2 linked regions of the Mytilus edulis genome follow. The protein of the gene in region 2 purifies or fractionates together with the protein of the main gene of each other region. This does not show direct contact. Links are inferred from orthologs where the notes say so. Each region holds a gene or a part of one and is shown on either strand. Other genes may lie near its edges. The genes, in order: ubiquitin-like protein 7 and ubiquitin conjugation factor E4 B-like.

Region 1 (8,777 bases), on a different chromosome or scaffold from region 2:
TTTTACCTGGCAATATTATTGCCAAATGTTCTTTCTTTACAATCATGACAATGGTAGGATGATTATAATAACTTACCGGTACTGACCCCTTAGAAATTCATCAAATTTAAATCTCATTTTGTTTCCCTAACAGTTTCAAGCTATTTGTAAGTTGTCATAGTTAGCATAAATTTGTTTTTGAATGTTTACGGGTAGATTGGGTGTTGCTGGTTGCTGTTGTGTTGTATTTATGGCGATTCCTGTTGTCACTTATCAAATTAAACACATTCCACAAAATGAGAAACAATCCCTCAATTCTAATGATGATATTAATTGTCCTTCTTTATCAGTAATCTCTTGTACAAATCAATTCAATACTTAGCAATGGAAGGGTATCTGGATTGTGCATTTATTTCCACAGGAATTCCACATTTACACAAATAAAGACTTGGGATTAACTGATTATTTTGGGGGGATTCAGTGAAAGAATTTTTTTTTTCAGGATTTTCCTGGCTTCTGTCTCCAATTTTTTGAGACACTTAAAGCCAAGCACAAGGTTTTAGTCTTCCCTTTTAAAAAAAAGTTGCCTGTATTTCAATTCTGAAACAACAAATTCGCTAAATATAAAAATAACAAGAATGTGTCCATAGTACAAACAAACAAACAACAAATATTTTATTTGCCAATCACGGCGCCCAGAATGAGCAGAATAATTATAATATAATTTTCAAACATAATGTAGAGTAAATTCAAAATAGGTTAAACAAAGTACATAATATGATTGATTTTGATTTGGTTGATTGATATAATATTAAAGAAAATGAAGTAGGCAATTTGTAAATAATAAACATATATAATACAATATGACCAATAGTATGTTATTATGGTCCCTTTATTGGACAGCACACCTTGTAGTAAATACTAATAATTTATGAAATGTAAAAGAAATAACTTATGTAAATGCATATTTGATCATACATAATTTTATATAGAGAAATCTAATTTAATATTGTATTTCTGTTTATATTTAAAACCTCTAATAACTGACAAATTATTATCAAAATGTTTTTATCTTCATTTCCCATTAGCCAAATAAAAAGAGATTTGTTATCAAGTTTTGAAATATTTTTATTTTTACTATATATTTTGCTTAGAAAGGGATTTCTAACATTATCCAGAGTTTTACATGTTAGAAGAAAATGCATCTCATCTTCTATTTCCTCATTACAGAGTTTGCATATTCTATTTTCTAGTTTAATATTAAAATAACGACCTTTTTCTATTTCAAGTTTGTGAGTACACGGATGCACCACTCACAGTATCATTTTCTATGTTTAGTGGACCGTGAAATTGGGGTCAAAACTTTAATTTGACATTAAAATTAGAAAGATCATATCATGGGGAACATGTGTACTAAGTTTCAAGTTGATGTAACTTTAACTTCATCAAAAACTAACTTGACCGAAAACTTTAACCTGAAACGAACAGACGCACAGACGGACGAACGAACGGAGGCACAGACCAAAAACATAATGCCCCTCTACTATCGTAGGTGGGGCATAAAAAAATTTGATATGATTACCAATACATCTTCATGATCAATCTTATAGCTATTCACGTCTGATCAGAAAATCTGTCCTGCTTGAACTATTGTCATCATACAACAATCAATTTTTTCATAGTGGCTTAAGATATTTAGTATTATGATGTCAAAATTTTAGGGTCCCGAACCTGTGTGATATCCAGTAATGGCGGACAAATAGCGAAAAGGTGTATTCGACAACTCTCCAAAAGAGACCAAATGACACAGATATTGAAGACAATGGGTCACTGTACCTATTTCAACAATGAGCCAAGCTCATATCACATGTCAGCTTTAAAAGCCAATCAAATGAAAATCAATTCAAACTAAAACTAACAACCTTATTTTGACTGTCCCTCTGGTATCTTTCGTCCCTCTTTTATCAGGTCAGGAATAACCACCAATTGGTGGATTATACCTCAATTGACGTATAATCCACCAATTGACATATATGGGTATAGACCAATTGACGTATTATGCAGGTTTTTTGTAATAAAATGCTTGTATGAGATAGGAGCATGATTTTGCAACTTGCAATCTATTTTATGACCCTTATTGAGTGCTCCAAAAGTTTCAGTTTTGTCAAAGCCTGATGCATCTCTTGAGAATGCATGTGTGCAACAATTCTTTTGTTAAAACATTTGTACTTTTGACCATGATTGACTTTTGATAATGAAAGTCAGGTATTAACAAAGAGCTCCATTCACCTGTGGAGTTGTACTCATGATCACATGACTGCACACAGTATTGATGTCCATTGACAGGTGATTAGTGGTTAATTTACCAATCAAGAATTGACAAGATAACAATAGAAGAAACTGCAAATACAATTATTGATTAAATGCAATATGTTATGTGACTATACTTAACTAGGAATGTTTGACAAGTTTTAATACCATAATATGGTTTTAAGAAAACAATGCTCCATTTTGGTGGAATAATTTGCTTTGAAAAACAAAGAACTATACACCAATTGGTCTATATCATTATACGTCAATTGGTGGATTATACATCAATTGAGGTATAATCCACCAATTGGTGGTTATTCCTGACCTGTTTATTCATGTACAAAGCAAGAAACAAAATTATACAAATATGAGAAACAGCAACAAACAACAACTGAATGACAGTCTCCTGACTTGGGAAAAGCACATATAGAATGTGGCAGGGTTAAACTAGTTTGAAGAAACCAACCCAGACCCCTAACCTGGGACAAAAACAGTTTACAGAGCACCCATTGAGAGCTGCGAGGGTACAGTGGAATCCATTTTGGGATTAATGGAGATGTGTCCCTTACATATTTACATTGTTTAATATTTACAAGGACAAATTATAGCCTTTCAAGATGTCATAATTATTTGAATAAAATTTACACGTAATCATTTCGCCAGACTATGGAATTATTCCACATTTGGTGAATTGTGGTTGAAGTTGTGCCAAACAGGGTTTCAGTTAATTGCTACTATTGTGCGTGTTAGATAGCATGGCACCGTGTTTATCATATTTATTTATTTTAATTATTGCATAGGCTGGCATAGCATGAAAATTTAAGTGAAGAAATGTGATCAAAACAATGAAATCTCATCATTACCGATGTCAGAGGGAGGTAAGTTGATGACTTTAGAAACTTCCTCTTTTAAAAACAAGGAGTTGCCTTTCAGATTAACAAAATTAAGTGTTATTTTGTCAGTTTTTCCTTGTACAGTTCGGTTACAAATTTTTAGGGACGCCATTGCTGTTTTGTAAACTGGTTTAGTATTATACGGTCTATTCTCCGTTACAAAATCAAAGTAAATAAAAAGGAACCAGTAATTTAAAAAAAAAGTATTGTAGTACCGGTTTCATTCGGGCGACATAAGAATAATTTCCTTATTTGATATTTTTTCAAAGATGGACAGTATTGTTAAAAAAATCTTATGGACAATAAAATTTAATGGGGAAATTCTTCTTTAGCTCAGTCTGTTAGAGCGCTGCCTTGTAGCACATCATTATCTCTGGTGACAAACAACTAAAAATTAAAAAGCATAAAAGTTAATTATTGCTAAATTAGCCACCGCTTTCATTCATCTTTTTCAGATTTTCTTTATTAAATTACCCCTTTTAGAGGATCTGTACATACCTTAATATAAGAAGACTGGGCCCTGTTATCATTAAAATCTATATGGTTTACATACAGTATTTGTGTTTATAAATAAATGTCAGCTTTATTGTACATCCCATTTGAACCATTAATTAAAATTAAATATTCTCTTCTATTGATAGTCATATACTTTATACTTTAAGTTATCATGATTCAATAAGGGATTTTGTTCAGTGTGTTCCTAATTTATCTGAGAGAAATCAATAGGCAACTATATTAAATAGTTTAATAGATATATTCAATAGAATATCTCATTTCAGCCTACTACAATGTATCTTTAATTTCATGTTTTCTTCTAAAACTAAACACTCTTTAGTCTTACTGTATGTAGTTTCATGCTGCTTTCTGTGTGATCTCTTATTTTTCTGTACCCTATCATCATCCTGCTACATACAGATGTCTCATCTATCTTACTGATAAGGATTGAGCATTTGTGCTAATGAACTTTAAAATCAAGATCTTACTTCAGGTATCCCAATAACTTAACATTATCATTGAACCTTCAGATAGACATTTTCAATATTTGGATATGAGCGTTCCTGATGTTAAATAGTCCTATAATATAAGACTCTGCAGTGCAGGTTCATATCATTTACATTCATTTTTTATCAGATTTTTTTTTTTTTAATATCAATGTTGAACCTCTGTTGAATGTAAATGATATGAACCAAAACTAGAGGCTCTTAAGAGACTGTGTCACTCACCTTGGTCGATGTGCATATTAAACAAATTACACAGATGGATTAATGACAAAATTGTGTTTTGGTGATGGTGATGTGTTTGTAGATCTTACTTTACTGAACATTCTAACTACTTACAATTTTCTCTATCTATAATAAACTTGAACCTTTTCATTACAGAGGAAAATATTTTGTAAAAATTTACTACAAAAATACCAAATTAATGAAAATTGTTAAAAATTGACTATATAAAGGGCAATAACTCCTTAAGGGACCAACTGACCATTTTGGTGATGTTGACTTATTTGTAGATCTTACTTTGCTTAATATTATTGCTGTTTACAGTTTATCTCTATCTATAATAGTATTCAAGATAATAACCAAAAATGGCAAAATTTCTTTAAAAATTACCAATTGGTGGGCAGCAACCCAACAACCAGTTGTCCAATTCGTCTGAAAATTTCAGGGCAGATAGATATTGACTTGATAAACAATTTTACCCCATGTCAGATTTGCTCTAAATTCTTTTGTTTCAGATTTATAAGCCAAAATCTACATTTTACCCCCATGTTCTATTATTTGCCATGGCGGCCATCTTGGTTGGCTGGCTGGGTTACCGCACACATTTTTTAAATAGATACCCCAATGATGATTGTGGCTAAGTTTGATTAAATTTGGCCCAGTAGTTTCAGAGGAGAAGATTTTTGTAGAAGATTACAAAAATTTACGAAAAATTGGTAAAAAATGACTATAAAGGGCAACAACTCCTTAAGGGGTCAAATGACCATTTTGGTGATTTTGACCTTTTTGAAGATCTTAATTTGCTGAACATTATTGTTGTTTACAGTTTATCTCTATCTATAAAAGTATTGAAGATAATAACCCAAAACGGCAAAATATCGTTAAAATTAAGGAATAATAGTACTGTAGTTGAAGAGTTGCCACCGTCAAAAATGCTTTGGTTTCAGAGATATGAGCCAAAAATCTACATTTTACCCCTATGTTCTATTTTTAGCCATGGTGGCCATCTTGGTTGGTTGGCCGGGTCACCGGACACATTTTTTAAACTAGATACCTCAATGATGATTGTTGCCAAGTTTGGTTTAATTTTGGCCCAGTAGTTTCAGAGGAGAAGATTTTTGTAAAAGTTAACGATGACGAACGACGAAGACGACGCTGGACGCAAAGTGATGAGAAAAGCTCTCTTGGCCTTTCGGGCCAGGTGAGCTAAAAATCTGATAAAAAACATTAAATGTAAATGATATGAACATGCAGTCTTTTATTATAGGACTAGATGTTAAAGTGATTCAGACTTATGAAATTTAATACAATTTTTTTCCCAATTACACCTTACTATGGTTCTATACAAAAATACAACTGAGATGTAACTCATAGTTATTGGGAATCTGTTGTAAAATCCCAAAAGATCAACATTGATCATAAACTATGAAATAAGGTTATGCTTGCATACCGGTATTGGAATGTCAGATGAATCCAGTCAGAAGGGCAAATACCTCCAACAACCATCCTAAATACCAAATATAATTTACCTATCATTTAAAGTAACTGAGAAACTGACCTATTTTGGAATGCTTCATCAACATATTATATAAACATAAAATGATTTTAAAGTTTGTAAAACAATTGTTTTCTGATGCACATCCTCATTCTCTACATGATTCAAAATGTGGGAAAGCCATAGATTTTTAAATAAACAGGGGGCTATGTACACATCACCAGTTAATAACCTATAAAATGATTGAAACCTTCAAAAATCAAATAACCTCATTCAAAATTTAATCCATATAATAACCAAATGTTTTGTGTTTGGTATTACTTGTAAACAACCCTTATACTTCTGATGCCTTTTGACCTCGAGTCTGACTGTCCTTGACCTTTGTGTTAATATATACTCGACTGTATTGCACTGGTTACCAAAATTTCGGATACACCAAACCAGGCACTTCTTATCTGAGAAACAGGCTATATATGTCCTCAATTTCAGAGTTCATTCAGACATTTTTGTATTATTCAGAATTATCAGTGAATTGAGTGTTCTACAAGGATCACCACTCCTTCCCCTTTTATCTGATACCTTAATTACTAAAATATATGCTACATGGTTTACACCTGTGCATAGGAACTTTTTTGTTTTAAATATGTACTACTTTCCTTATGTTCTTTTTTGGACCCAATTAGGTGGTGTTACATCTTACAAAGTCTATCCAAATTTTTTGCCAAGAATTTCGCTCAAGCCAGTGCTAGACCCCGCCCCATCTTAGTGCAGTGAGGTACAAGTTCATTTTTGCTCTGCGTTGAAGGCCTCACTATGACTTTGAGATGAAGAATAGCAATACAAGAACTGTTCCTTTGCTTCTTACATGTTTTTTGTTGCTGTGCATGTACTCATTTTGTGTCATGGATAGATGACTCATATCCTTTGTTTTGATACTTTGGTAAATTTAACCAAGTTTCCAGAAGATAGACTGATAATGTATGATACAATAATTAGAACATGAGAAGACAGCACTTTTATTTCAAATATAAACATGACAACAACTACTGTTGTCAGATTTTGCCAATGTCATTTACATTTGTATATTTACACATAAATATGAAAAAATAAAAAAAAACATATAACAAGTTATTAACAAATGCACCAAGTTCATCATAGAAAAGTTGACCATGTCATTATAATGAGCACTTAAAGCATTAATTTTATTATAAATACAGTTTTTCTCTGTAAGAATCTCCATTTACTGTTTCTTGATTAGTTAAATCTCATTGTAATTAATATACATTGATATATTGTTCCAACAGACTAACACCACAGACACATTGCAACTACACATAAATCTCTGTTCACATGGTTATTCCAATTTTTTTTACACTTAAGCATACAAATAATATCTATTAGGATATCTGATTCTATATACATATAAATTTCTAAACTGCAACTAAAAAAAAATCTCCATTTACACTTTACAGAATTTTTCCAACATGATTACACATAAGCTTACAAAAAGTAATTGTTTGCATGATACTTACTAAACATCAATTTCTAAAACATTTCTGAAGTGAACTTAATATTATAATTATGAGTACCTAAAAATTGATCTACTGCATTATGGTATTTTACTATTTTAGTGAAAATAATATAAAACTAATAAATCAGTAATTCTCTTTATTTTCAAACATACATACAAATGACCATGCTAAAATCATTAGTCATTCATCATTTTATAAAATTGGCATACAGTTGTAAACCTTTCTGCTGAAAAGGATATAATTCATGTCAAGTAAAAGATAGTTCAATAAATGATATTATTATACTTCAGTGTGTTTTTTCTATATCAAAAGTAATGAAATAGTTGTGCTATTTCATTCCACAGAACCATTTGCCATTCAATAGTTTCAAAGACTATTGCCCCGGTGAATAGTTTCATAATCATCTTTCCCGTACTTTTTCATGCTTATTTTTCATTGGACGACAATGATGTCATTGACTACTCTGCTTGGTTACGTATGCTTTGCAACGTCAAACTCCCGCTAATATTGTAAACGGTGGGATCTGTTTGTGTTGATTGTAATTTCACTTATAAGAAGCAATCATTAAAAAGAAGAAAAAATCTTCATGGGGATTTTTTTAAAGATCTAAAATGTAGTACCTTATCCTTAATATGGGTTCGCTCTCCGTATATTAAAAGTGAATTTGCGTTTGGTGTATTTTAGCTAGAATTTGTTATAAGCACAGAAAGTTTAACACAAGTATTTCTAGTCTTGATTGAAATTAATTAATGAAATATTTATTAATACAAAACGAATTATAAAAAAGTATAGTTCATCATGTGCATATAAAGTTATGTGATATTTTTGTTTTCTTGCAGATGATATATATACACTTTTAGAAAATTAGTTATTTGGTATATATATAAAATACTTAATGGCTGTGTTGTTCAGTATAATAAAACACCTAATGACTGGGTGTGCGGGTAATAGCAAGTTTGTTGTCCCTTCGCATACCAACTATTGCTCTCGGCTTTGCCTCGAGCAATAGTTGGTACCTCAGGGACAACAAACTTGCTATTACCCTCACACCCAGTCAATAGGTGTATACTATTAGTGAAAATGAAAAACCAATATTTTTTTCTGTCTCAAAAAAATAAGATTTTGTAATATTAAGCTGCATTATTTTTGTTTAATAGACAAAAAAATTGTTGACACAGAGACATGTCTCTTGTGTGCTTAATATGATAATTGAAAATGATGAAATAAAATGGCAGCATGTAATCTACATGTAAACTACATGTACAAATCAATGACCAATGACTGAAGGTGTAGGGCAAAACAGTCACCATTGATGATATGCTGTTAACTAGAAACACATTAATTATAT
Region 2 (8,661 bases):
TTTTTTTTTAGCATTCTGAATCCACTTCTAAACTTCTTTAAATCAAACTTACTGTTTTTCTGAGCATTCTGAATCCACTTCCAAACTTCTCTAAATCAAACTTACTGTTTTTCTGAGCATTCTGAATCCACTTCTGAACTTCTCTAAATCAAACTTACAGTTTTTCTGAGCATTCTAAATTCTCTTCCAAACTTCTCTAAATCAAACTTACTGTTTTTCTGAGCATTCTGAATCCACTTCTAAACTTCTCTTAATCAAACTTACTGTTTTTCTGAGCATTCTGAATCCACTTCTAAACTTCTCTAAATCAAACTTACAGTTTTTCTGAGCATTCTAAATCCACTTCCATACTTTTCTAAATCAAACTTACTGTTTTTCTGAGCATTCTGAATCCACTTCCATACTTCTCTGCGAGTCTGGTGTGATTGGGTCTACACTTAAAGTACCTAAAAAAAAATCATTGAAAATTAGATTAAAACATTTCCGTAAACCGGTGTTCAAGCAAGAATATGAGGGCACAATGTTAGGAAAAAACACTTTTGTAATGCAATCTTTTTTAAAACAGGTCTTTTCTTATACATTGACAAAAATGAACATGATGAATAACCTCTTTGTTTTTTCCTCCCAAACTCATCTTTCTTGTTGCAGATACATGTATGCTACTTTTAGGCATTCAGCAATTTTCCCATTTGTAAAGGGGCATAACTCTAGAAAAGTTATAGTGATGCCACCAAAATTCAATCTTAATCTGTGTTTTGTGGTAATAAGCATTGTGTGTATATATATACGTGTATACGTTTCTTAACATTTGGTTGAGGCAAACTAAAGTTAGACAACAGAAACCAACTTTGGGACCTACAGACAAGGGTAAATCTTAACTCCACTACGAAAGGGGCATAAACATGTCTACTTTGTGAAGTATCTACTGATGATTTACTTGGAAGAGTTCGTATTAGTTTAGTATCTACTGATGACTTATTTAGGATCTACAATTTACTAATGACTTACTTGGAAGAGTTCGTCTCTGTGAAGTGTCTAATGATGATTGACTTGGTGTTGACTGACTTGATTGTCTTTCTGAAGACTGACTAGAAGGTGTAGACTGGGTTCCCGATGACCTGTCTCCATCTGGAGGGGTAGTCTGGTTTCCTGCTAACCTGGCCAGACGTCTTCTCCTTATCTGTTATAATTAGTGGAAAATTAAATCTCAAACCAGATATTATTTTGTTTATAATGTGATCTCTATCTGCATTACTACTGACAACCGTGTTCGATCGATGACTTGTGTCTTTAGTCTTTTTGAGCATGTTGTGTTTTTTTTGCTTTGTGTCAATTTGATGAGGTAAGCCCTTTTCAAAAGATAGTTCTCATTGACAATCATACCCACAATTTGACACAAACAGTAGTCAGTATACAGCACCTACTTGAACACTATTTAGTTCTGACATTTGAAGTCATTTGGACTAAATGTATCTGACATTTTGTCAGTATATGTACATTGTAGTAAATGTAAATATTTCTATATTCCACATCATGGACAAATGATTTTCCATCCCAGAAACCTGTGCATCAGTGGGTAATACCCATGTTTAATTAGCTGGGTCCTATATATCATCATGGATACAACTATCATTTAGCTGTTAATAAGAATCCCAAAACATTTATTTTAATCTGAAATTGACTCTGGTTTCATACAATGGTTTCAGTTAACAGGTTAAAGGTTAAAAGTCAAAAGAAACAAAACAAAAAAAAATTGATGTAATTGATCATGTGCTTGGCTTACTACATGTATGTGTTAGATCTATTTGTATGGATCCATCTGATGAGTTAAGCATTTTTCAACTGATTTTTATACAGAATGTAGTTCATTTTTATGTTGTACCGTTACACCACGGTCATGACTGTCCTAGTTGAGGGTTGAGATCACACTTACATGTTTAAACCCACAACATTCTGTTTGAATGTGACTGTCCCAAGTGAATCTGGGACCGTTCCCGCCCATTCACGTTCGCACCCACTCATGTTCGCCCCCTTTCACTTTCGCACCCCACATGTTCGCAACCAAAGTCTGTTCGCGCCCAATTTTTATTGGTTTTGTGTTTAATAAATTTGTAATCAAGTTTTGGCAAGTAGTATTCCTAAAAGTATAATTGATTTCATTGTCTCAAAATAAAGCGAGACAGCATTTTTTAAGTGTTGAATAAATCTTAATCATGTTTTTGAAAGTGTATTGTTAAAAAAAATAATATTCCTTTCTAATTAAAGTGGGATTCTGTCAATGTTTTATTTTTTGTTGAATAACACTTAATCATGTTTTGTTTAGTGTATTGCCTATAAAACTTTGTTTCATTGGCTTGTTTCAAAATGAAATAAATTTTATCATGTTTTGGTTTATATAATAGTGTATTGCTATATTTTATTATTTCATTGTTTCAGATCAAAGGGACCAAGCTGTTAAAAACAATTATCTTTTGTGTTTTTCATTTAAAATATTTAATCTTTTACTCATACCAAGCTATAAATACATTCAGTATTTACATCAAAGTAATTAAAATTAACAATAATGATTTTCCAATTATTCAACTGGAATTTAAATTAAAATTGGGCGCGAACGTGTAGAGTGCGAATGGACCTTGGGTGCGAACGTGTAGGATGCGAAAGTATATTGGGCACGAACGGACCTGATACCGTCCCAAGTGGGGAGGCTGTGATTTGGTGGATGTCATTTGTTGCTGTGTTACATATTTTGTTTCGTTCATTTGTTTAGACATTAATTAGACACCTATCACTAATCCCGGCTGACCCGAGAATCCGTGCCACTTTAGCTATTGATGTCACACATAAATCCTTTTTATTGTGGCTTTAGATATTTTGTATTCTGATGTCAAAATTTGGCTGGAACCTATGTAATGTCCAGTAATGGCGGGCATATAGTGTATTAGTGTTTTGTTGAAGGCCATACAGAGATCTATAATTTCTAATTTCTGTGTCACTTGGTCTATTGCGATGAGTTATCCTTTTTTATATATGCAACACTTATGGGATAACATTTATTTATCAACAATAAAGTTGTCACAGGACAATGAATTAGATCTTCAAGACATAATGAATTATGACATTATCAATGTCTTTTACATCTACTTCTATGTGGTTAATCTGCAACAGAAATTTCCATAATGCAGATACAGATAATATACTTAAATGGATAATTATGTGATGTAACACAAACAGTCAAAGGGTTTTAAAGAGTATTAGCCATAATTTTATACATTCACTAATAATTTCGGTCAAAACATTGAAAATAAGGAATCATGACAAATCAATTTATTGTTGATTTTTTTTGGTTTAGCTTCAATAATCTACCTCGTCTGGAGTGAGTTCACTCATTTCTTCTCTACTTAGATATTTGATTCGATTTTTTCTACCATAAAGTTCCTTATTATTTTTAAATCAAGGTAAAAGTGTCTTTGTGTTTTCTTCTTTTCCAATATGTGACGTCACATTTTAACCCGGAAGTGTTCACTGTTATTCGCAGCTTTAGACAAAGCAAAAAAAACCCGAAGAGACCAATAACGAACCCCAAAACACATTCGACTCAAATACTCCGATCTCGGATGAATATTATAAAAGGGTTTGGATCGGGTTAAATGATTAAAGAATAATACCCTTTAAAAAATGAAGATTAGAGAATAATGAGGCCATAAAATGAAGATTAGAAAAAAGGGTTAATATTTTGAAGATTAGAGAATAAAGGGGTTAATTTTTTAAAGATTAGAGAAAAAAGGGGTGACTTGAAATTAAATGTTTACAGAATAACAGACCCCCTCCAGACCCTTTTGTAAGCGCGCAATAAAAGTTTTTTTCTTATTTTTTGTTATGGAACACCACAAACAGTTGTGTACGTGTATTAAAATGTGTCACAAATCTTAATACTTATTTATATTAATATATTTCAAGTAAATTGACTAAAATAACATTTGAGTATTTGAGACAAATACCTTGTCTTTTTGTACTCCAGATTTCGATCAACTTTGGAATCGGATTCAAAAATACTTATTGAGTGGTTCATGGTAAATAAAATGCAAGCAAATCCTGACGAATTTCAAGTTTTGGCTGTTGGCAAAAAGACCTTTGAAAAGAACCCATCTGTGTATATTCAAAATTCGAACCTCACATGTGAAAAAACAGTAAAATTATTAGGCATTGAAATAGACTACCAGCTAAATTTTGATGTTCATATCAGCTCAATCTGTAGGAAGGCATCACAGCAATTAAATGTTTTAAAACGTTTAGGCTTTGTTTTGGATAGACTTAGTAAACTTACTATATTTCATACTTTTATTCTTAGTAATTTTAATTTTTGCCTTTTGGCATGGCATTTTTGCACTGAGAAAAATTTCAAAAAACTAGAAAAGGTGCAGGAAAGAGCACTCCGTTTTGTGTATGAGGATTTTACCAGCTCCTACGAGGACCTCTTACTTAAAGCTAAGGTGCCTTCCTAGCAGATCAGACGGATAAGAACAATGGCTCTAGAAACTTTTAAAATTATAAACAACATAGCTCCTGTGTGTTTACAAAATTTGGTGAATGTCAAAAAGTCTAAATATTCTTTCAGGTATGTAAATATTCTTGAAATTCCACAGGTAAAGCTAGTCAACCCGTTACGGTAAAAAATCGTTCAAATTTGCTGCTGCTACTTTATGGAACATTCTTCCAAACCATTTCAGGACTGAAAACAGGTTTTCACATTTTAAAAGTCTTGTTCAGTCCTGGAACGGTTTGGAATGACAGTGTTCTGCTTGCAGATAATTCTTGAACTGTTTATTATTTATGCTGATTTTGGTTGCTCTGGTCAAGCATGTTTTTACTTCATTCGAAAATGTGTTGCTTATTTTTATTGCATGCTTTGTATGTGAGATTTCAATTTTGTATTACAGGTTGTTTTATATATGTCAAAATACACTGTTTTTATGTTATTTATATGTTTTTATATTCGGTCAAAAGCTCCTTAGAGCTTGTGTTGCTTATTTGTACTCATGCCGAATCAAAATAAAGTTTTCTTATCTTATCTTATCTTATAACACTATATATTTATACATACCGAATCTAGGATAATACTGTTTTCAGTAAAAAGTTAAGCAGGGATAAGATTTAAATCTAAAGGATAATTTATCTAGTATAGGTTAAGGGGCTCGAGGGTATCATAACTCTTTTTTTTTTAAGATAAAGGATATCGCTATTTTATCTGTAAATAAACTTTAAAATATATACGTAATAGCAAAATAAAATGAAAACAATGGGGTCATCGTCTATTCAAGCTCACGATCTGCCTACGAAAGGCATTCATTTTTTAAAGTACTTTTTTCTGTTGAACTTATTGGAGCAATAAAGGTATAATATCGAAATAAAAAAAGAACTTTTTTTACAGTAATTGCTTAATTTGTTAAAATCACGGTTTAGTTTAAGTACAGCTTGTTTGAATTTTTTTTATAGGTCACCGATGAGTTAATAAAAGCTATTTCAATTTCAATGCAAAAAATGGCATTTTTGCACCATTTTAAAAGTCATCTGGGGCAAAAACAAATCGATTTTTGTGTTGATTTTTTTGAACCATATTTAATATGGTTGCAACTAAAAGTGTATTAATAAATAAAACTTGTAACTAAAAATTCCACTAATTGCCTGTTCAGTTTCAGGTAATTTATAGGAGAAGGATATCATTGAGATGCATATATGACAAAAGTGGACAAAACACAGATTCTTGCAAAGAAAATAACTATTGGTTCGGTAAATTTGATTTATTCTCCAAAACCCAGCTTGGAAGGTTAATATGTCATTTGCTATGTTCTTTTTAGTGAAATTATGTTAAATACATACTCACTCTGTATTCAAATACCAGTAGTGAATTTGTTATTATTATGTCAAAATCGCAGAAGGACTGATACACACCTCCGGGTGCGGGATTTCTCGCTGTATTGAAGACCCATTGTGACATTAGGCTGTTTTCTGCTCTTTGGTCGGGTTGTTGTCTCTTTGACACATTCCTGATTTCCATTCTTAGCTTTACTCCACCCTCACACAAAACGTATTATTTTTAGTAAAATGAATGTCCCTGATTTTTTCAGTTGAGTATTCGACTTTAGAAGCTTGCAAAACATGAACTGATGTTGCCTTTTTCAATCTATCATCACTATGTCAGAAAATATGTATAACATTTCTATTATTTTGTCATAAATTTGGAATAATTATGTAAAATATATTCTTGATTATTTAAACTTTACCCTTTTCTATTCAGTAATACCATATAAAAACTGTTGAAAGCTTTCAAATGAGTTTTTTTTTAACTTTTCATTCTATAATTAGTTATCAAAGGTACCAGGATTATAATTTAGTACGCCAGACGCGCGTTTCGTCTACATAAGACTCATCAGTGACGCTCATATCAAAATATTTATAAAGCCAAACAAATAAAAAGTTGAAGAGCATTGAGGATCCAAAGGTACAAAAAGTTGTGCCAAATACGGCTAAGGTAATCTATGCCTGGGATAAGAAAATCCTTAGTTTTTCGGTAAATTCATAGTTTTGTAAACAGGAAATTTATAAAATGACCACATTAATGATGTCCATGTCAACACCGAAGTGTTGACTACTGGGCTGGTGATACCCTCGGGGACGAAACGTCCACCAGCAGTGGCATCGACCCAGTGGTGTAAATAGTTATCAAAGGTACCAGGATTATAATTTAGTACGCCAGATGCGCGTTTCGTCTACATAAGACTCATCAGTGACGCTCATATCAAAATATTTATATAGCCAAACAAGTAAAAAGTTGAAGAGCATTGAGGATCCAAAAGTCCAAAAAGTTGTGCCAAATACGGCTAAGGTAATCTATGCCAGGAATAAGAAAATCCTTAGTTTTTCGGTAAATTTATAGTTTTGTAAACAGGAAATTTATAAAATGACCACATTAATGATATTCATGTTAAAATAGATTCAGGCATTTTGTAGAATGCCGTTTAATTTTTTCCAGGCATTTTGAAAAATGCCTAGATAATTTAGACATTGTGTTTAATTACTGAATCTTGCAGGTATTTTAGAAAATGCCTTAAAAGTTTTCAGGCATTTTACAAAATGCCTAAATTTAGAAAATGCCTGTAATATATACATACAAAACATTGTTGTTGACAGAGGTCTGTTCAGTAGTCACTTTATATACACTGTCATTTTATAATCATTTCATTGGCTACCATCTTTTTGTTACTGATTACCCGATATCAGTCTATACATCAATACGTGGCTATGGTACCGGTGGAACAGCATTTTTTTGGCAGAAAGACTTGACCAATGCAGTTAATATAATGCCGGATGGGAATGATCTCATTCAAGTACTAACAACAGACAGTAACCCAAATTTAATATATCTACTAGTAATTGATTTATATATGCCATCTGCCCAAATTAGTGGAGACAATAGTTTCAAAGATACACTATATCAAATTTCAAAAATTATGGATAAATATAAAGAAATTTACCAGATCATCCTATGTGACGATATGAATGCACCCTTGCATCCTGATTATAGAAAATGAAACAAAGTATTTGAAGGTTTCACAAAGAAAGGCAACAGTAAAATACCACTGTCCGAAAGTCATAAATCGATTGAGACAACACAAATCCGGGTTACAAACTAAAGCCGAGGGAATCACATCAACTATACTATAAGAGGAAAATAACAAAACAACAGAAACAATGATTTTGCAAAAAAAAAACCCCAAAAACGACAATGCAACACACATGACACACAGAGAAACGAACTAAAAGACAACAACTGCCATTTTCCTGACTTGGAAGAATACATTTTAAGAAAAAAAACGGTGGGTTGAACCCGGTTTTGTGGCTAGACAAACCTCACGCTTTTGTGGCAATGTTAAAGTTTACACTCAAATGACAACACTACATGACAGGAATACAGTTCAAATAAATGCAAGAACACTCAGGACAGAGAAATACACAAATAAACAAAACAATAGCATATTTCGACATGCTAAACACAGAACAAAATAGAACATACAAAACAACATAGAACAGCACAACAGAACCACGAACTATGTCAAAAATATAAACAATTACATTTACCAGATAGCTACCCAATAAAGCCAACTCTTTTCCATCACGGTGGTAAATAAGTCTTACAAATTGATTATTTTTTGTTAAATAAAAAAGTATACAGCAATTAAAACTGACTGTAAAGATAGCTTTAAGTCACACTACAAATACTTCCGATCATACGCCTGTAACAGCAAGGGACAAGATACTATAAGGCCCGTTTATGCCCCCTTCTATTTTCTCATTTTCAAATTCTGTTTTAGAAAGCTACTTATCACGTTAAAACATTCCCTTAGGTTTGAAGTTTTTTTGGATGAACTTCAAAACCATTAATTTAAAAAAATGGGTAAGGTAAGAGGGGTAAAAGGGCACAAAAAACGCCAGAAGAAGGGAAAATTACGATTTTTGGTCATTGTTTCTTAAAATTTAATAGGGTCACTACGTGACCCGGAGAAAATTACGGCGATTCAGACGGTAAAAACAGTGCTAATGACATTGGAAGAAAAATATTCCCGAGTTACGTTAGCGCAGGCACTTAAAACTAAAATTCGTTAT

The links.
Region 1: the proteins of ubiquitin conjugation factor E4 B-like (region 2) and ubiquitin-like protein 7 purify together in Homo sapiens (affinity purification with mass spectrometry; 3 studies listed by BioGRID and IntAct, counting the BioPlex papers as one, with this or other methods). This does not show direct contact. The link is inferred for Mytilus edulis from reciprocal best matches to the Homo sapiens genes UBE4B and UBL7.

Annotation. Positions count from the first base shown.
Region 1 is NC_092347.1:92,524,837-92,533,613, reverse strand, and holds the start of ubiquitin-like protein 7, read right to left. Parts: upstream 3,330-8,777; 5' UTR 3,295-3,329; coding exon 3,153-3,294; intron 1-3,152.
Region 2 is NC_092356.1:69,800,807-69,809,467, reverse strand, and holds the start of ubiquitin conjugation factor E4 B-like, read right to left. Parts: upstream 3,524-8,661; 5' UTR 3,388-3,523; coding exon 3,364-3,387; intron 1,181-3,363; coding exon 1,009-1,180; intron 447-1,008; coding exon 371-446; intron 1-370. Other genes in the region: uncharacterized protein, read left to right, coding at 8,449-8,452. UniProt on the Homo sapiens protein: Ubiquitin-protein ligase that probably functions as an E3 ligase in conjunction with specific E1 and E2 ligases. May also function as an E4 ligase mediating the assembly of polyubiquitin chains on substrates ubiquitinated by another E3 ubiquitin ligase.